Mus musculus: one gene and its partners. The protein of the gene in region 2 purifies or fractionates together with the protein of the main gene of each other region. This does not show direct contact. Links are inferred from orthologs where the notes say so. Each region holds a gene or a part of one and is shown on either strand. Other genes may lie near its edges.

Region 1 (8,528 bases), on a different chromosome or scaffold from region 2:
AAAAGATGTTTTAAGAAATGTTAAAGGTTGCTGAATGGTGGTGGTATGTAAATGTAACTTTCATTTTCCTGTCACTGTCTGCTAACCTAGTCCTTGACGCTTCTAGCCTCTATACAATCTAATCTAAGCCTAGAATATTTTCATCCTCTGAGACTTACTGCTGAAAATGCTCACTCACCCTTTCTAGTTCTTTCTGAAATCTTTTGGCTGGCTTAACTCAGCTATTCTGGCTCAAACTCCTCTCCAGGGTGACTGACTCAATTTGGCTTCTCTCAGCTTCTGACTGAATTGCACTGCTTGGTCTCAGACTAACTTTGGAAATCTATTCTAATCTTCTGGCTGCTCCTCTTTCTCTGACTTGTCTGTCTTCCCCTGTGTCTAGCTTGTTCTCTCTTTGCAGCCTGTCTCTGTAAAACCAACCGTTCTGCTAAGTCTGCCTCTTTGCTCTCTTCTTCTGCGCCACTCCCTCTTATGTTGCCTGTTTTCTCTCTGTTCTCCTGAGAGTTGAGCACATCCTAGTCTGTCAAACTATCCTCAGATTTGTCAGTTTGTCTGCCCCTCAATTAGACATCACTTTCAAACATAAGGCTTCCTTCTCTATACTAACTTTACCTTCATTGTTTGGGATTAAAGACATGTACTAAGCTTGTATCTGAATTCCAGACAGATCACACAGGCCTAAAAGGCTTTTGGATAGGGTCAGAGTAGCCATGTTGCTGTATTAAAATACCTCTACGGTGGTATATGCTTTTAATCCAAACACTTGGGAGGCCAAGGCAAGTGGATCTCTGACTTCTAGTGTGCATTTCTAACCATGCTCCAGTTTCCAAATAACAACTCAGAAGCTTATTATTTATAAAAAATTCCAAGACCATAAACTAGGGTTGTTCCCAGTAGCTCATAACTTATTTTACCCATTTAAACTGTTCTGTGTCTGCCACATAGCTGGTTACCTCTCCTTAGTTTTATACATCCAACTTTCTCCAGATAGTGGAGCTTCCCCACTCTCACCATTTCTTGTTCCTATCTTCCTCTACTGGAACCTCCTGCCTTCTTCTTCCTGCCTTTTGCTAATAGGCCACCAGCTTTTTATTGACAGGTGATGCTTCCACACAGTACATAAAGGATTATTATTATATTCTAGGCCTGCCTGTTCTACAGTGAATTCCAATTTAGCCAGGGCTTCACAGAGAAAAAGAAAAGTGAAAGGTCAGGTTGAGAAGAATCTGCACTTCTTTTTAATTTCTTATAAGAATTGTTTCTGGATATAGAACAAATAATAGAATAGTTTGAAAGAGATAAAATAAGAAAGAATATGGAAGAATTAATGTTAAGCATAGGAAAATCCACATAAATGATGCGTTAAACTAGGCACCATTAAGTTATCCATGGGAAAGGCCCTGAAGCAATGTCAGATTGCTGACATTGAGAGACGGGACATCTCAATTCTGGGTTGCTTATTCTCGATATGCAGTTAGATAGACACAGGTAGGCACACAAACATTTTTTTAAAGGCAGTAGTAGTTTTTTAATTGCAAAAGTGTATGTTTTATTTTTAGTTCCTTACTTAGAATTCTTTGTTGGTAAATGATAAGTTCATTACAGCTCCTTTTCTTACAAATAAATACGGGTTGGGAAAAGCTGAGTGTTGGTGCACACCTTTGTTCCAGCACGGAGGGAGCAGAAGCAGGTGGCTCTCTGTGTGCCCAGTTCCAGGACAGGACAGCCAGGGCTACACAGAGAAATCTTTTTTTGAAAAAACAAAATAAAAAAGGGGTCAGGGTGTGACTATAGTAGGCTCAGTGGTTTAGTGCACTCTTTGCTCTTGAAGAGGATCTAAGCAGTTTCACAGCTGTCTCTAGCTATAGTTGCAGAGGATCCAGATTCATCTTCTGACTTTCTTTGGACATCAGGCATGCACAGACAAAACATACACATAAAATAAAGCTAACAAAACTCTTAAAATTATGGGTTGAGAACTCTGGTGATGGTTCACTGGTTAAGACCATATGTACAGGCCTGGGAACCTGAATTCAAAGCCCAAGCACCCACATAACAAGCCATTCAAAGCCACATACATGTCTATAGTATTGTAGTGGTAGAGACAGAAAGATTGCTGGCATTTTCTTGTCTGTTTGCTTACCTCCAAGACAAATGAAAGACCTTGTCTGAACAAAGTAAATTGGAAAATGATCCAGCAGGATACCTAAGGCCCACATCTTGCTTCTACATTTGCTGATGCACCAATATTCTCACATGTGCATACTTCGCGCACATATCCCTATAAGTAAATTGCTTTGTCACAAAAAATAGAAGTGTGATTTTATATTTTTATTGTGTAATTTGTTTTTAAGGAAGGATAATATGTATTCATTTGTATTTCATAGCATTTTTTCCAAGTAGTTAAACATACTTGATGCTGTTTTGCTTTCCATTTTGTTACTGTGGTAAAACACTTGATCGAAGGCAGCTTAGGAAGGAAAAGATTTATTTGTCTTATACTTCCTGCATATACTTCTGTCATTTCAGGAAGTCAGGGCAGAAATGCAAGGTAGGAACTTGAAGTAGAAATCATAGTGAAATACTGCTTCCTGGCTCACTCTCAGGCTTCTGTTTAGACAGGCTTTGAAGTGTGTGTGTGTGTGTGTGTGTGTGTGTGTGTTTAATATGTACTTGAGTGCGAATGGAGTCTAGAAGAGGGACCACCTATGAGTCCAGGTAATTATAGAGGGTTGTGAGCTACTTTTTGTGATGGGAGCTAGGAATCAAACTTAGGGAACTCTATAAGAACAATGTGTATTCTATGTGTGTTGAGGGAAGGGGTAAGTCGATAAGAGTCTCTCTATGGAGTCTTAGCTATCCTGGAAGTAGACCAAGCTTGCCTCTGCCTCTTTAGTGCTGAGATTGAAAGTATGCCCTACACCCAGTTTCAAGACTATTTTCCACTTTAATCTGCATCTTAACAGCTTTTTTCTTCAAAATAAGAGCAATATATTTGAGGCTGTGTGTTGTGATTACACCACTAAAAACTTTATAGATGTAGTTTTATTAGGTGAGTTTTGGATATATAAGACTGCTGGTTTGGGCTCCAGTTTTTAAATACATCTAATCTTTTTCTTTTGGTCTCTGTTTTTAGAAAGAGCATCAAGAAGTTGGTTTTGAAAAATCTCAACAATAGCAATCTCTTTTCTCCTGTTAATCATGATTCAGAAGATCTAGCTTCACCCTCTGAGTATCCAGAAAATGGAGAAAGGTGAGCTGGATTCATTTTAAAGATGTTGTTAATCGTTCTGTTTTGCTTTTAAAAGCTTCTAATTTTATAAAGGTTGAGTTTTATATAGACTTACTATAATTCAAGGGCCCCTGGGTGTTATGTTATTATTTCTAGAGTACTTTAAACCTCAAAAATTATTGGAGCAGATTAATTTCTATAGAACTACTTTGTAATTATTTTTTTAAGATTTATTTATTTTATGTATATGAGTACACTATAGCTGTACAGATGGTTGTGAGCCTTCATGTGGTTGTTGAGAGTTGAATTTTAGGACTGCTGCTCGCTCTGGTTGGCCCTGCTTGCTCAGTCCCTGTTCGCTCCAGCCCAAAGATTTATTATTATAAATAGGGACGCTGTAGCTGTCTTTAGACACATCAGAGGAGGGCGTCAGATATCACTACGGGTTGGTTGTGAGCCACAATGTGGTTGCTGGGACCCGAACTCAGAACCTTTGGAAGAGCAGTCAATGCTCTTACCTGCTGAGCCATCTTGCCAGCCCCTATTTTGTAATTCTTATATGTGGCTTTGGGCAGTTTTAGCAAGCACTTCTGTTAGTTAAGGTACAGTTAGTCTGATGATTATTAAAATAATGTTCATTCTATCAAGTAAAATCAATATAACAAACAAGAAGTAAACAGACATATATATGTATATATGTGTGTGTGTATGTATATGTATGTATAAATTGTGTGTGTGTATACACATATAAAATACCTGTCTTCAGTAGTCTAATTTAAGGGCTAAAGAGCTGGCTCTGCAGTTATCAGTACTTGTTCTTCCAGAGAATCGGAGTTTGGTTTCTGACATCCATGTTGGGCAGCTCACAACTGGGATCCAATACTGTCTTCTGACCTTTTTGCCAACACACATGACATACATTCAACAAACATATATGTAAATAAAAATAATTTATAACATTTTTACTAGTTTGACTATTAACTATTTAATAGTCAATTTAAATATTTAGTAGTTTTCCAGTTTAAAAATTTACTTGAGGGGCTGTTGGAAAAATAGCGTTAGTCTGTAAAGTACCTGTCTTTCTTGAAAGCAAAGGACTTAATTGGACCCAATGTCTCACAAAAAAAATAAAATAGGGCCTGATGAGATGGGTCTGCAATGAAGATCACTGGCTGCTCTTGCAAAGGACTGGTATACCATTCATAACATCTACATTGTGACTCACAACCATCTCTAATTCTAGTTCCAGGGGATATACAGCCCCCTCTTGTCCTCTGTAAGCACTATATATACATATGTACACATACATACCTGGAGGCAAAACACTCATGTACATAAAATATAAATAAAATTAGATTGAGTAAATGAGGGCCTAGAAAGATGGATTGGTTGTTAAGAACACTTGCTGCTCCTGCAGAGGACCTGAATTTAGCTTTCAGCATGGTTGCTCATATATGCCTGTAACTCTAGTTCCTGGGGATCTGATGCCTTTTCTGACCACTGTAGGCACTAGGTATGTATATGGTGCACATAAATTCATGCAGACAAAACATTCACACACATAAAATTAGTGAAACTTTAGAAAACAAAAAGGCATAGTGATTCATGCCTTTACTTCCAGCACTTGGAGGCAGAGAGGGACAGTCATCTCGTCTACATATGGAGGTCAGGACAGCTAGGGCTATGTAGAAAGACTATGTCTCAAACAAACAGAATGAATGAATGAATGAATGAATGAATGAAAAAGAAAAGGAGAGAAAGAAACAGCCAGTGGTGGTAGGTTTAGAGGTTGGTTCTCTCCTTCCAGGAAATGGGCCCCAGGAATTAGACTCAGTCATTTAGGCTTTGTTTCATCACTCAGCCCTCTTGCCAGCCCTGATTCCCCATCGTTAATGGTCTTTGTGGTCATTGTGATGAATATAAGATAGTTTAGTTAGCTCTCCATTAGTGAAATTTCAGAGATTATTTGGTATTCCTTTATTCAAAATAGTGGGCCATCTATTTTTTAATTTGTAATTTGATATTTCATTAAAGTATTTCCAAACCTCTTGTGTTTATAATATTAGTTTAAATTCAAATTTTGAGATTTTTAAAAATTTTATATATATATGAGTGTTTTGTCTACAAGTATGTATGTGCATTGTGTGCATACAATGCCTATAGAGTCCACTTATGTGAAATCCACTGGAACTGGAGTTAGAATTGTTGATAGCTTCCATGTCAGTGTTGGGAATCAAACCCTGGGTCTCTGAAAAAACAGCCAGTGTTCAGTGTTTATTTTGACATTAACCATTAATCATTTATTTTCACATAGCAGCAAGTATTTTGTGTTTAGTCTAAGATTTAATCAAAATCAAGGCTGGGGAGATGGCTAAGTAAAGGCCTTTGTCATCAAACCTGAAGATCTGAGTTTGATCTCCAACACACCCACAGAGTGAGAGGGGGTTGCTCAGATTTATTCCTTTGAAAATGAGCAGTCAAGGCTATGAAACCTAGAGCTAGATTTTCTGAGGTTTTTCGTTTGTTATTTTATGTACATGGGTGTTTTGGTTGCATGTATATTTGTATACACTTGTGTGCCTGGTGTCTTAGGGGACCGGGAGATGGTATCAGACCCTCTAGAACTAGGTTGCAAATTGTTGGGAGCCACCATGTCTGTGCTGGGAATTGATCCAGGATTCTCTATACAAAGCAGCACATCCTCTTAACCACTGAGCCATCTTTCTAGCCCTAGATTTTTCTATTTTAAAACTTCAATTCTAGATAGTACTCACAACTTTGTGATATTACACAAAATTTTTTTTTTTGATCTGGTTTTCCTGTTACAGGTTAAGAGGTAGTAATTACATCCTATCTCACACAGCTGCTATAAGGATTTATTAAATCATCTGGTGTAATGTCAGATCCTTAATAAAAATTAACTGCTGTCATCACCTTTTCTATTGCCAAAGACTAAGGTATTTTTTTCTCCGTTATCAGATTTAGCTTCCTGAGCAAACCTGTTGATGAGAACAATCAGCAGGATGGAGAAGATGACTCTCTTGTATCACGATTTTACACTAATCCTATTGCCAAACCCATTCCACAAACTCCAGAGAGTGTTGGAAACAAAAATAACAGTAGCAGCAATGTGGAAGATACCATTGTTGCCTTGAACATGCGTGCTGCTTTGCGCAATGGATTGGAAGGAAGCAGTGAAGAGACGTCATTCCATGATGAGTCATTGCAAGATGACCGAGAAGAGATAGAAAATAATGCTTACCACATACACCCAGCAGGTCAGATTCACATACTTTTTTATATCTTTGAAACAGTTTTTAATTACAGCAATGTGGTCAAAAGAGTCCACTTCTTATAGCCTAAGAGACTGTCCTATCTTCCTAACTTTGTAAATTCAAGTGGATTGTTTATTAGTAAGACCTTACCATAGTGTATTCTATGGAGACTTACCATGTTATGGGTATTCCTTTTAAGAAGAGGACTCTATGGTAAATAAAATCTACAAATCTTAGGTTAAGCAAAGTTTAGTAGACTATATTACATTTAAAATGTTTTTGTTTTTCTGTTTGTGGGAATAGAGTCTGGGTCTTGCTCATGCTTTCTTCAAACTTGCAGTGACCCTTCTGCCTCTGCACCCCAAGTTCTGCGTTGAGTATGTGGAGGCAAGTTGCTCAGAAGCTCAGGGTCTTGGCTTTGTTTTAACTACAACGCCATACTGACACATAAGACCCTGTCTCATATTGTTATATGAAAATAAAATTAATAGAACTGGTAACTGTTCTACTCAAGTATAATCACAATATTTTTTGACTTTTGGTCATAGGCATTGTTCTCACAAAAGTTGGTTATTACACTATCCCATCTATGGATGACCTTGCTAAAATTACCAACGAGAAGGGAGAATGCATTGTTTCTGACTTCACCATTGGTCGTAAAGGTAAGTGTGAGTTTAAAAGTCATATAACTTAGAGATTGGACCTTGCCTATGTTATTAAGGGCAACTCTAGGTTTTAGAGTCTGGTTTTTTGTTCTTGTTGGGTTTTTTTTTCCCCCCTGTATTTGGTTCTTTCCTGACTTAGACTAATAGAAACATTGACAAGTAATAAAGCAAGGAAGACTAAAACCATGTAGAATTTGGGGGCTTAGACATACCTGTTTGAGTCTGGTAATTATGTTTCCCATAATTCTCCATAATTAAACTTGAAGATATACTAAGTTTTTAATACAGTGATCAATTTTATATTAAATTGTTATGGGTAATTTTCTTTAAATAAACTTACTCTGTGAAGTAGTCTTTTGAATGGGCTCAAGTATTTTAGTTTATGTAGCAGACGAGGAACCAAGTTGTTCATACACTGGCACTGGAGATACTGGGGAAGATTTGAAGACACCAGAAATGTAAAGTGGAGATGTTATATCTGATAACTATATAATGCCATTCCTCGGTCCCCACTCTTGCCATCTTTAGGAGACAGAAAGCTACTCCAAGAATTTCTGGAAGGTTTAAAATACTGATATTAAAGGTTGCATGTTCTCCCTTCCTAATTACTACAGATTAAAGGAGATTTTTGCTCCTTTATGAAGGATCTTTTTTAACCATTTGCTCTGAATTTTAGGATATGGCTCAATCTATTTTGAAGGAGATGTGAATTTGACAAATCTAAATTTGGATGATATTGTGCATATCCGAAGGAAAGAAGTTATTGTCTATGTAGATGATAACCAAAAGCCACCTGTGGGTGAAGGGCTAAATAGGTATGAATTTATTTATATACAGAAATTGGAGTTTTTTCCTGAAAACACAGTCTTTCTATAAACTTTTATTGTTTGTCTACTCTTATTTGAAAGTATAAATGGTAATGATGCTCTGTGACTTTAGGACTCATACCTTTCCCTAATGGTAATGTGTTCACATGCTATTTTCAGGAACTTTCAACAATGGAAGTTTGCCTTTGCTTAATTTTGCTTTTCAGAGGTAGAGATTAAACTAGGGCCTCATACATGTTGAAAATCACTCTGCCAGTGAGCACCAACTCCAGAAAGTTTTCTTGTTTTGTTGTATTTCTTCTTGTTCTGCCACTGGTACACTCAACTATTTAAATGTGAGACTAACGTTTATTTTGTTTTGTAGGCATTCTGTTGCCATATATTGCTTGGATATGGTGGGAGGTTAGATAGCTCGCACTGTAACCGGTGTGGTGTTGAACCCTAACTTAGCTTTGATTCACGGCATTCCTGCTTCACCTCCCCTGTGCTGTAGTAACACTCCTGTACTGCTACATCCATCTTCCTCTGG
Region 2 (3,600 bases):
AAAATATTTTTATTAAATAACCTACTTGGAGGATAATTACAAAATCCTTAAGTATTAATTCCCAGTAGTGAAAGGCATTTTCCTTTAAAAAAAGAAAAAAAAGACAAAAATATCCTTATGATTTGCTGCTTTATACACAGGAATGATTTATTTTACAGTCATCTGTAACATCAGCGTATAAAATTCAAAACATTTCTTAATGTCTGAAGTCCAGAGTGAAGTTCACAATGATACGCTCTCCTATGAAGCTACCTATCAACAGACAAACCTGAACTCTATGGTAACAACTCCACACAGAATTTACAAGGCAGGCACTTTGAATCAGATACTGGGAATCTTTCACAGTTAATATTGCTTTTTCTGAAGCTCCTCTCATCAAAGGTAACCAACTAGTGAAGCCAAGGCTTCCTTGTGCAGAAGTACAAAAAAAGGTTTGGTTTCAAACACTTGAGTTGTGATACATGCAAGACATGCCCTAAATAAGAAGGATCTTCTAAAAGAAAATGAAGAAACCAAAAAGCAGCCCAGAATAAAAGCATTTACAAGCATCTGGATAAGGCCTTTACGTCAGTATTTTACACCCCTTCATTCTCAGGTAAGGGGTTAAGAGGCCGAGAGAGGTATCCTCTGCGAGGGTGAGGATACTGGAGGTTGGCATCGCAAGAGTGCTCTAGCAGAGGAGCAGGAGGAGGAAGGAGCTGGGCACAACTGGACCATCTTGATCCAGCCCGTGGGGAATCCAGAGGGGGAAAGAAATACCTGAAATAATGAAGACAGGAACAAAACACCAAAACAAAAACAACAGAGGGGAAAGGAGGGAGGGAAACAGAAGAAAAAGAGAAAAGCAGTAAATACAAAGAGAACCAAAGAAGAGAAAACATGCTGGAAGGAAGGAAAAAAAGCTTGTATATTCATGCCACAACCGATAGAACAACAGTACAAATCAAGACTTGCACTTGAATCAAGGTTGCTTAAGAAGTATAAAAGTTTGAAAAAAAATACAATATGTTAAAGTTAAAATGCCCCCCCAAATTACCAGTACCTATGTTACAGAGACATTCATTTTATAAATGTGAAGCCTTGTCTAATCCCATCTGATTCTTTCATTTACATTGCTTTCCACTGTCAGCAGTCCTGCATGTGCTGCAGCGGCAGGCACACCTCCTAGGTGCGTACATGATACTGAGAACCAACTCCAATAAACTACACGGGAAAGCTGGTCATGCCACAGGCTTTGAAAAATACAACCATTGGACAGCCTTAGTTTCCTGCAAAAAACTTAGAATAGCTACAGAATTTTGGTGCAAAAAAGGCTCATAGAATTATATCTACCATCTTATAACTTACCCGTAATATGTATGCAGTTTAGTCAATAAAAAGGTGTATAACTTTGTCATCAAAGTCAAAAGTGTCAAAAGACAGGAACTCATTGAAACAACACATTAAAAATCCTGAGACATGGAATTTCAATTGCATGCACATTTTCTGAAAAATGTCAACTTATGTTTCCAAATTGTCTTAAAAGAAACGAAGATGTGTAGGATCATACCATAAACATTCATGCATATATTAGAAACATCCATCTTTGTAATGGGTATGAGATGAAAACTTAGAAGTGTTTCCACTTCTAAACTAGCAAATGCTAATGTGCTGCTTGGCTACAAACCATTGTATAGACTGTGGTGCCAGGTTACTAGTATTTTTAATTACAAGAAAAAGTCGTTGTGTGGATAATATCACCTGTAAAGTGGTTGTGTGGATAATATCACCTGTAAAGTCATTGTGTGGATAATATCACCTGTAAAGTCGTTGTGTGGATAATATCACCTATAGAGCAATTCTACAAAAGGTAAACACATTACCACTCAAAACAATCTTTAAGAAAATATTTATTCGATTTTCAAATTAAAATTATAAAAACTCATCATTTTAGCTTATTGTTTTAGAAAATAAAAGACATATTCCTATATTCTCCAAACGGAATAAAATTATATTTTCCCTCCTCCCAAATGCTTATGAGGATAATAGCAATGCTTTCCCAAGTTAGTCTCCAGAACATCCCAAAAAATTGTTTTGGTGATGATGTGTCAACAAAAAGCCTTTCCATTTATAGTGTCAGGAGGCTGACTAGTACAAAAGTTATATACACTGTCACTTTAAAGGCCTTTTGGACTGTGTGTAGTAGTGAACGGGCTGCTGGTGCATCTTGGAAGAGATCAAACGGCGCTGGGGAAGGGGAAAAGGAGTTGATTTCCATTCCTGTGTGCATGCAACAAGCAGCAAAACAGCAAAGTTACTCCAGCTAGCTTGTACTCAGCTGTGCTTTCTGTTAAAGGACACAACACAAACGGAGAAGGAGAATGCATCACAGATCTAACATAGATGGTTATTGGCACAATAAGAAAACAGATCAAAGCTATTTATGGAAGAAAATAACACAGAACTAAAGCTGTAACCTAAAACCAGATTTTTAAAAATTAACTCTACTATGCTTTCCTTCATAAAATAATTTGTTCTTCTCCATAGTAACTGGAAACACTTTCTATAGTTGCAAATACTTAAAACCTCAAAATCAAACAGCAAAATTTCTTGATTAAGAAATAGGTTACAATAGGGTAACACAGAGCCATTTTAAAGTGGAATTTTGAAGTTTCCCAACCTCTATTCCAAATTATACTCAAAGGCATATTTTAAATTTTTTATATTGCAAATTTACATATTTGAAATATGAATGACAAAAACTGACTCTAGATTATGTCAAATTTTGTTTTAAATGTATGCAGAAGAGCCTAAACTTCAAAATCTTGTATTTTACCACTATTATACACACTATTATACACACAAAAGACCAATCATTTCACACACTGGTCTCACAAAGCTGTAGTTATGGACTTTATTTAAAATTTCAATGTGATTTGATACAAAGCCTACCCAAGAGGCACTAAAAACATCCGAATATTTATCTAAGAGTCAGCTCTATTAAACAACATCTCCTTTCACTGCTGCAGAAAAGAACACAGAATCATAAAACGACTAACATTTTTACTGACCACTGAATTCCAGAATATAATTCAATGGACTTAAAAAACTGTCCATACTATAACCAAGGAAGCCACTAAATACAGACAAGAGTGAAATTCCAAGAGTAAGTGTCACAATTATTGGTGAATTACTTTATTCCATCTTAAAATTCACCTTTTAGTATGACTACCAGGAGAGGTGGCTCAGCAATTAAGGGCCCTGGCTGCTCTTGCAAAGGACCCAGGTTTGATTCTGAGCACCCACATGGTGGCTCACATGAATCCGTAACTCCACTTCCAAAACACTTGACTCTTTGGCCTCCCCAAACATTGCACACATTATGGAGCAGAGATATACAAGCAGGTAAAACACCCTACACATAAAAAGTGTGCATGGGGGCAGGGAAGGAGGTTTCTAGTTTTTCCCACAGAAGAGCCTACCTGCTAGCAGAAGTTCCATTTAATGAATTTTGAAGATTTGGAATATTTGAGCTCAGTGAAGGATTTGAGTTTCCCAGCTGAGAACTCCCATTTACTGGGCTCCCGTTACCTTTCAAAATACCAGTACACTTCCAATTGT
Region 3 (8,528 bases), on a different chromosome or scaffold from region 2:
TGCTTTGCAAGAGCAGCCAATATATGCTCTTGATCGCTGAGCAATACATCCAACCCCAAAATTCATTATAGACACGTATAAAACTGCCAAGTAACTTTTCAATGGAAAAGAAGAGCTCAGGGCTGGGAGATGACTCAGTCGGGAAAGCTCAGGTCTTGCAAACTCAAGGGCCTGAGCTCTAGCTGAAGACCAGCGTAAACATGTGAGTTGTGGAGTACACAGCTATAATCCCAGCAAGAGGCAAACAGGACTCAGAAGTTGGTACTGTCATGTAGCTCCATCCAGTAATGTGAAGAGTGAGAATACTTCTCACTCAGAGCAATCAGAATAAAATCCATAGAAACATTAAGGGTTAGATAAGTGTGTACAAAGCTCTGCTTTGAGCCCCACAGTGGGGGGACAATATGTTTGTCCATATATGTTTGGCCAGAAATATAGCTCAGTGTCAGAAAGTCCACCTTACACAGACAAAACCCAATTCATTCTCTCTCTCTGTCTGTCTGTCTGTCTTTCTCTCTCTCTCTCTCTCTCTCACACACACACACACACACACTTCTGAGAGTCAAACATGGTGGCTTACGTGTGTAATCCAAGTATTTGAGAGCTGAGGAAGAAAAGTTGCCATGAGTGGCCAGTACAATGTGAGACTTTCTCTCAAAACACCAGATACTAACACAAGCAAACCAACAAGTAGACACAGGCCCCACACAGGGGCCTGCTGCGAGCAGAAACACACCGAACCACGCTATGGCCTAGGTATGCCCATCAGCTGGTAGAAAGCCTCCACCAGGTCCTGGTCATCCCCAGCATGACAGAAAACTCAAAATGGTGGCAAATGCGTGTAAGGAGAAAGATCAGAAACTCCATCTCATGCTTGGCTCAATGGCAGTCAAGGCCATGCAAGTTCCTGTATCAAAAAAACCAAAAGCCAAACCAAAACAAACTTTTTTGGGGCTGGAGAAACAGCTCACTAGTTAAGTGTGCGCTCTGCCCTTGCAGAGGACCCAGATTCAGCACCCACGTGCCAGTTCACAATCATCTAAACCCCAACTTCACAGGCTCCGACACCCTCTTGGCCCGCACAGCTGCCTAGCACACATACAGTTCACATACATAACATACATACACTCGCCGGTCGTGGTGGCGCACACCTTTAATCCCAGCACTCGGGAGGCAGAGGCAGGCGGATTTCTGAGTTCGAGGCCAGCCTGGTCTACAGAGTGAGTTCCAGGACAGCCAGGGCTATACAGAGAAACCCTGTCTCGAAAAACCAAAAAAAAAAAAAAAAAAAAAAAAAAAAAATACATACACTCATATGTATACTCATATGACTAAAAACACATTTATCTTTGTTTGGTTGGTTGGTTGATTTGTTTAGACAGGGTTTCTCTGTGTAACTCTGGTGTCCTGGAATCTCTCTGTAGAACAAGCTGGTCTTGAACTCAGAGATCCACCTGCATCTGCCTCCTGAGTTCTGGGATTAAAGGTTGAGTGTCACCATTGCCTGAAACTGATTAATCTTTACAATACAAAAAATCCAAACAAAGGTTGGCTGAGACGGGATCTCACGATACTGCCCAGGCTGTCTCCGATCCCAAGGTCGAGTGGTATTCCCACCTCAACCACCCAGTAACTGTAACCAGAAGAATGCGCTACCATCTGCCCAGCTGGCAACACTGACCAGGGCCTGGGGATGACGGGATGATGCTCATTAGCAGAGGAAAGCTTTCCCACCATGTATAAGCACTTGCCTAGACTATCAAGGTCCTGGGTTCAATCCCAGCACATAAGGTGACCAGAGGCTCAGTGGAACTCAGCCATGTGCAATGGTTCAGTGTTTAGCAGTTTGGTTGAGGGCAGCTCTAATGCCCATAAACAATGACCTGACTGTACAAGTAAGCGTATATAAAACATACAAAGACTCCTAGTAACATACACACCTGAGCATATGTACTCAAGTCCCCAAATCGCCTTCTGACAGACAGACTCAAATCTCCAACGACCTATTCTGCATCTAAACTTAGGACTTGAATAAGTGTCTACGCACCATTCCTTCTCCTTCACCAGATGCACACACCCACCTTCCTTTTTCTCACATATTCCTTGCCAACTGTATTCTTTTTGTGGTGGTGGGAATCAAACATAAGGACTAGTGCATGCTAGGCAAGTACTCTACCACTAAACTACATCTCCAGTCCCCTGACCAATTTTATGTTTTGAAAGAGTTTCCCTATATTGCCTCAGAAAATACAAGTTAACAAAGATCTATATACCAAGACCGTCTAAAGAGAAATCAAGGCACAGCAGGCACATATATAGCGCACATATGTAATCCCAGCATTCAGGAGGTAGGATTATGAAGCCAGCCTGGTTTAGAAATGAGCTCCAGGCCGGTAGGGTTACACAGTGAGACCTTGTCTCAAAAAGCAAACCAAAGTAGTTCCAGGACAGCCAGGGCTACACAGAGATACCCTGTCTCATGGAGAAAAAAATAATGGGGCAATGGTGGCCACACCTTTAATCTCAGCAGTTAGGAGACAGAAGCAGGTGGATCTCTGTGGGTTCCAAGCCAGTCTGGTAGGACAGACAAGCCTACACAAAGAAACCCTGAATTAAAATACATAAATAAATTCAACAAAATAAGCCAACAAAGTAACCAAAAAGATCCTTTCTCGCCTTGTGGTGCTGGAGATCGGTCTCCCAGATGCTATGTAGGCACTCACTACAATGCCACCTCAAGGTCCTTCCTCAGTGCGCCTCAGCTTTCCTAGTGCCCAGACCCTTTAACAGAGCTCACATTGTGCTAACTTCCAGCCATGGAATTATTTCATTGCTACTGTCATGAATAGTAATGTAAGCATCTGATATGCAAATCCCCTGGGAGCATGAGCCACAGGTTGTGAACTGTTGCCCCAGAGTGTTCTACCTCAGACCACTTATGCTCATGTGCACCCCATCAACCGCTTGGTCCCCTTATAACCTCTCTTCCTCAGACCTACAAACAAAATCCTCCTGAAACGACGGCAAGTTTACCAAGCACCGCTCCCCGTGCTAAATTAGTTTTAAACTGCTCTGGAGCAGAGAAGGAAAGATGCAAAACCTACTCCACAATCATAAACTCAGAGAGCTGAGCCAAGGCTGGAGCAGGGGTCCTCCCAGTCAGCCGACTGCAGCGCGCAGAGTGCACAGGGCGGGCGGCTGCCGTCCGCGCACACTCACCAGGTCCCAGAAGTTTTCATGCTTGCTTGGGTTGTCACCGCCCAGGACATCTGCCGACAAACTGTCCACCTCGCACACGTGCAGTCGGACCCAGTCAAGAAGGTGAAGGAGGAGAGGGCCAGCTGAGGAGAGACTCATGTCACACAAAAGAGCTCAGCTTCATCTGCGGCATCTCCACTCCACCCAAGTACAGACACGGACGTGGATTTATAGCAGAGGACCTGACTGGACAGAGGGCTATTTATTCCCTGCAACTAGGAAGGACAGAGGACGACAGGAACCCTGTGATGCTAAGACAGAGTTAGCCTGGGCTAAGTGAGGCTACATGAAACAAACAAATTGGGGTTACCTGGTGCTACTTCAATAAAGAGAATCTCACACAGGTTCCAAATGAGCTCCATGGCTGACAAAATGGAGACCTAGGGAAGAAACGGAGACTAGTTTTAACTGAAACTATTACTGAAACTCGAATGCAAAGCAACAGACAGCAAGAGAGATGGCTTCACAGTCAATAGACTCTGCTGTGCACACATCAGGAGCAGAGTTTGGATCATAGCACACAGATAACAAGCTGGAGACCTGAGCACATCTGAGGCCTCAGCTACAAAGGGAACAGAAAGGAGGGTCACTGCAGCTTGCTGGTGTCCAGCATAGCCAAAATAACACAACTCCCAGGATCAAGAAGAAAGAGAATGAGCAGAGAGAGTGGACATTCAACATCTTCTTCTGTCCTCCACATGCATGCACAGGTACGCTTGTACATACATACACACAATAAAAACTGTTTTAAAAAGGTGACATGTCAGCCGAGGGCATAGCTCAGCAACAGTGTGCATACTTAGCACACCTACAACACTGGAACCAAGACCAGGCACTGCAACAACCGAAAAAGCAAAGCCCAACCTAAGATGCTTTAGGAAGATGAACGTCCCCCACCCCACCCCACCCCCCTCCATCACCCCTTGTTCCAGGGGGAGAGCATACTGTGCCCATCAGAGAAAGCCTATTTTCCCTGTTCATGAGTTAGAAAAGCTCTGGGGTCTCACTGAGGAAAGAGTCCTAGATGTCGCCTTCTAGTCCTGCTGAGTTATAACCACATGCTGCTTGACAACAATTCTGAGTTCATGAGACCAAGCAGTAGTCCTAGAAGCTCGGTTCTCCATCTCAAGTGACAACTCACAAACACCATGTGTTAGGACTCATCTTTTCCACAAGCAATGAAAACCCTGAGTTCCCATGGGCTAAAACCTTGACCAACACTTTCAAAGCCATACTTGCCATCCCAAAGAGCTGCTGATCTACCTGAAAAGGAGAGCCCTCCTGCAACAGGGACCACAAAGCCACCACCCTACGCACTAACACGATGTTGCCAATACAATGAAAGCAGCTACACCTTACCTGGCTGCTGAACTGCCGGCCACTGGCTGGATCTTTAGCAGCAACTAGCAGAATACAAAACACCTTAAGTCAATCAACCTGCACTGAATGTAGCTCATCTCCTAAGCCCTCAGAAGCCCCATACGGTTTTTGCCTTGGTTTCTTTTACCACCCACCCATTTTCATGTGAAACGCTTATGGATCACACATTAAAACAAGGACCTATTATGAACTGCACAGCAGCCTCCTTAAAGGCCTCTGGAGAAAACAGCACCAGATAACGTACTTCAAACACACACAGGGTCCTTACTTGCAACCTGATGCATTTCTTCCATACAGGCCCGTATGACTGAACGGTAATTTTTACTCACTCGAACCAATCTACAAAAAAAATGAAATGACATACAAGATGACATGGAACCGTATCTTGATGCTAGAAAGAGAGAAATCAAAAGACAGGAGACGGGCTGCAACATCAATTCCAGGAGCTCTGAGTGCTCTGGCCTCCAGTACATATAAACTCATGTGGTCACACCATACCACACAACAAACAAACAGCTTTGTCACAGTGGTTTTAAAGTGCGTACTACTGTTGGAAAGGACCAGAGTTCAGTACCCAGCACCCTTATCAGATGGCTCACAACTGGCTGCAATTCTGGTTCTAAGAAACCCAATGTCATCTTCTGATTCCCACAGGTACCTGCACCAATATGCACCTACACATACATGGTTAAAATAAGTCTGGACTGCAAAGACGGCTCAGGTTAAAAGCACTACTGTTGTAATCAAGCCTGTGGCGTATTTTCTCAGTTGATAACTGATATGGGAGGTGCCATCCGAAGCTGGCGGTCCTGGCTGCTGTAAGAAAGCAGACCGAGGGGCTGCAGAGATGGCTCAGTGGTTAAGAGCTCTGACTGTTTTTCCAGAGGTCCTGAGTTCAATTCCCAGCATCCACGTGGTGGCTCAAAACCATCTGTAATGGGATCTGATGCACTCTTCTGGTGTGTCTGAAGAAATAAATCTTTTTAAAAAAAAAACAAGAAAGAAAGAAAGCAGACTGAGCAAGCCACGACAGTATGGCAGTGTGCAGGGCTCCTCCACGGCTTCTGCATCAATTTCTGCTAAAATTCAGTGCTCGATGCTCCAAGCACTGAATTACCACAAGCCTGGTAATCGTGTCTGTAACCCTGAGCTTGAGAAGTAGAGGCAAGAGGACCAGAAACTCAAGGATACACACGTATTTGAGCACATACATAGCCTGGGCTACACAAGTCAGCAGAGTGCATGCCAGGTGTATGAAACCCAGTTTCACCCTCATCTACTTACTGAGCTCAAGGAACGAGCACAACAACAACAACAAAAAAGAGTGAATAATAGGAAAGAAAAAAAACAAACCGTAGCCTGGAGGGCTGGCCCAGTATCACGGCTCAGCAGCTGGGCACTCAAAGGCAGCTCGAGCTCCGCCACCCCAAAAGGAAGCAAAAAAACCAAATCCTGATTCCTTGTCAAAAACACAAGCTTGAGAAGCAAGTCTTTCTTTTCCATTTGCCTTGTCTGCTGACGCCTGTATTTCTTTCATATTAAGACAGGGTCTCGCTTCTGCAGCTCTGGGCGGCCTGGAACTCACTCTGCTGACTACCAGCTCTTAAAGATCTGTCAGCCTCGTTTTTAACTCTTTCAAGAGTGAGATCTAATTCAAGGGCTTCTCTGTCTGAGTCTTCCTTTCACCATATTTATATTATTTTTATTTTGGTCGGTGGTGGTGTTCAAGGGACACATACAAATGAAGTAGGAATCCAAAAGGAAGAGTTGATACATATATATCAAGCCAGTAAGTCTTCCAACAGCATTTACACAATGCACAACTACACCCTAAGAAGATACACAGGAGAACAGGAACCCCGAGGTGCCCCGGCACTCACAAGGATAAGGACGCCTCCCTCTCACGACTTCACTGCAGCCTCAGCACCCACCACTTACTGAGCTTTCCTGGACTTCCCCGACAGTTCTTCCTCAATTTTTTGCAGGCCAACAAAGATTCCATGGGATTCATTGAAGAGTTTTCTCAAAATTTGAGAGTAAACATCCACATCTTTCCGTATGATGTAGATAAAAGGGCAGCTCGGCACCTTCTCTGATTTGCCTGTAACAAAACAGGAAAAAAAGTAACTCAACATCTACCATTTTCCCCAAAAGAGAAAAACATCCCAGTACTTCTAATTCTCTAATTACAAAGCCCGGCTGAGCCTGGGGCACATGTCCACTTTCTCCACCGGTGGGAATGAGACGGGAGGATTAAAACTCAAGGGAAGACTAGTGCACACAGTCGGCCAAGCAAACCAGGTTTACGCCAAAAGAAAAAAAGATTTGTCTTCATCTGGTCTGTGTAGGCTGAGATTACAATACAAGCAGGCAGCACAACACAGACTTCTTTTTTGGTGATATTGATGATCTAATTAAGGACACTGCCCATGCTAAAGAAGTTATCACTGAGCCACTGAGTGATAGCCTACATCCTTGGTTTTTGAGAATGGGTCTGGCAACATATCCCAGGCAGCTGGGGACTCTCTATTCCCCCCGCCAACTCTTCTGCACAGTAGAAAATCTAAGGTTGCAAGCGAGCGTTGCCTGAACCCAGGACTTTGCCTTCAGCTGAGGCAGTCTAACTCACTTCTTTGGGCTTGTTTTTGTTGGGTTTCTCAAGACAAGATTTCTCTGTGTAGCCCTGGTTGACCTAAAACTCATTCTGTAGATCAGGCAGGCTGTGAACTCACAGAACCACCTGCCTCTCTGTCTCCTGAGTGCTGGGATTAAAAGGTGCGTATCTCCACACCTGGGCTATATGGGTCGTTTCTAAAGGTTAATTATAGGAAGGGGGCTGAAGAGATGGTTTGGCGTCTAAGACAACTGGCTGAAATTTCCTGCCTTTAATCCTAACACTCAGGAAAAAAGAGCAAGTAATTTCTGAGTTCAAAGCCAGCTTGGTCTAAACCAAGTACCAGGACAGCCAGGCTACACGGAGAAACCATCTCAAAAAACCAAAACCAAACAAGAAGTACACAGGCAGCTCTTCCAGAAGACCTAAGTTCAACTCCCAACACCCCATATGGCAACTCACATAAATATAGAGTTCTAGTTCCTAGAATCCAATGATCTCATTTGGCCTCTGCGGCACCAAGCACGGAGTGGTGCACAGTTATGCACGTAGACAAAATGCCCATACACAGACTATAAAATTTAAAAATTACTTAATGTCAAGTGTTGAACCACACACCTCAAGTCCCAGCACTCTGGAAGTCGAGGGAAGAAGATGTAGAATTCAAACCTACACAAAGATTGCACAAAGACAAGCCCACTAGGACTACATAGGGGCAACTTGTCTCAAAATAGCAAAAAAACAAAGTTTCAAAAATAAAAATATTGCCAAATAACTCCAGTTTCCTGCCTCAGAGAGTCAACCAATGTGCCAAGACAGATGTGAAAAAGAACTGCCTACCTGTTTGGTTGAAGGAAGTTTCACACAGAAGCATCTCGCCGGGGCCCCAGTCAAAACACATTTGCTTCTTCTTGGAATTCACACCTGGAATCCACTAGTAAGACATAAGGAGGCACAGGAGCTGTTAGCCCTACAACTGTCCATTCAACTTCCAAGTGTAACTGCGAACACCATACACCAGGCGAACAGCCTAGGTCGTATCCAATGATGCTGTGCACATATTCAGACATATACACACTTAAAAAAACATTTTCTAGGTGCAAGAGGAATAGAATACAACGCGACAGAAACTAGTCTATTGTCTCCCGTGAGAACAAATTATGCATTTATTAAGCCTCGGACTAGGACAGCAGGACAGGGAAAGGCCAACTCATCCCTTGGAGTGACCATGTGGGGCTTACACCAATCTCATTCTAACGCCCAAGGGGGGAAAACT

Evidence for each region.
Region 1: the proteins of Seh1l (region 2) and Nup98 fractionate together in Homo sapiens (co-fractionation; 3 studies listed by BioGRID and IntAct, with this or other methods). This does not show direct contact. The link is inferred for Mus musculus from reciprocal best matches to the Homo sapiens genes SEH1L and NUP98.
Region 3: the proteins of Seh1l (region 2) and Nup85 purify together in Homo sapiens (affinity purification with western blotting; 4 studies listed by BioGRID and IntAct, with this or other methods). This does not show direct contact. The link is inferred for Mus musculus from reciprocal best matches to the Homo sapiens genes SEH1L and NUP85.

What each region holds. Positions count from the first base shown.
Region 1 is NC_000073.6:102,151,777-102,160,304, reverse strand, and holds part of Nup98 (nuclear pore complex protein Nup98-Nup96 isoform 1 precursor), read left to right. Parts: intron 1-3,136; coding exon 3,137-3,253; intron 3,254-6,211; coding exon 6,212-6,510; intron 6,511-7,055; coding exon 7,056-7,169; intron 7,170-7,848; coding exon 7,849-7,987; intron 7,988-8,528. UniProt on the Homo sapiens protein: Plays a role in the nuclear pore complex (NPC) assembly and/or maintenance. NUP98 and NUP96 are involved in the bidirectional transport across the NPC. May anchor NUP153 and TPR to the NPC.
Region 2 is NC_000084.6:67,791,876-67,795,475, reverse strand, and holds part of Seh1l (nucleoporin SEH1), read right to left. Parts: coding exon 3,462-3,600; coding exon of another isoform or gene 3,458-3,461; exon of another isoform or gene 2,883-3,457; intron 2,327-2,882; coding exon 2,314-2,326; 3' UTR 760-2,313; coding exon of another isoform or gene 576-759; 3' UTR 1-575. UniProt on the Homo sapiens protein: Component of the Nup107-160 subcomplex of the nuclear pore complex (NPC). The Nup107-160 subcomplex is required for the assembly of a functional NPC.
Region 3 is NC_000077.6:115,564,812-115,573,339, reverse strand, and holds part of Nup85 (nuclear pore complex protein Nup85), read right to left. Parts: intron 8,187-8,528; coding exon 8,093-8,186; intron 6,740-8,092; coding exon 6,577-6,739; intron 4,978-6,576; coding exon 4,907-4,977; intron 4,662-4,906; coding exon 4,618-4,661; intron 3,639-4,617; coding exon 3,569-3,638; intron 3,342-3,568; coding exon 3,220-3,341; intron 1-3,219. UniProt on the Homo sapiens protein: Essential component of the nuclear pore complex (NPC) that seems to be required for NPC assembly and maintenance. As part of the NPC Nup107-160 subcomplex plays a role in RNA export and in tethering NUP96/Nup98 and NUP153 to the nucleus.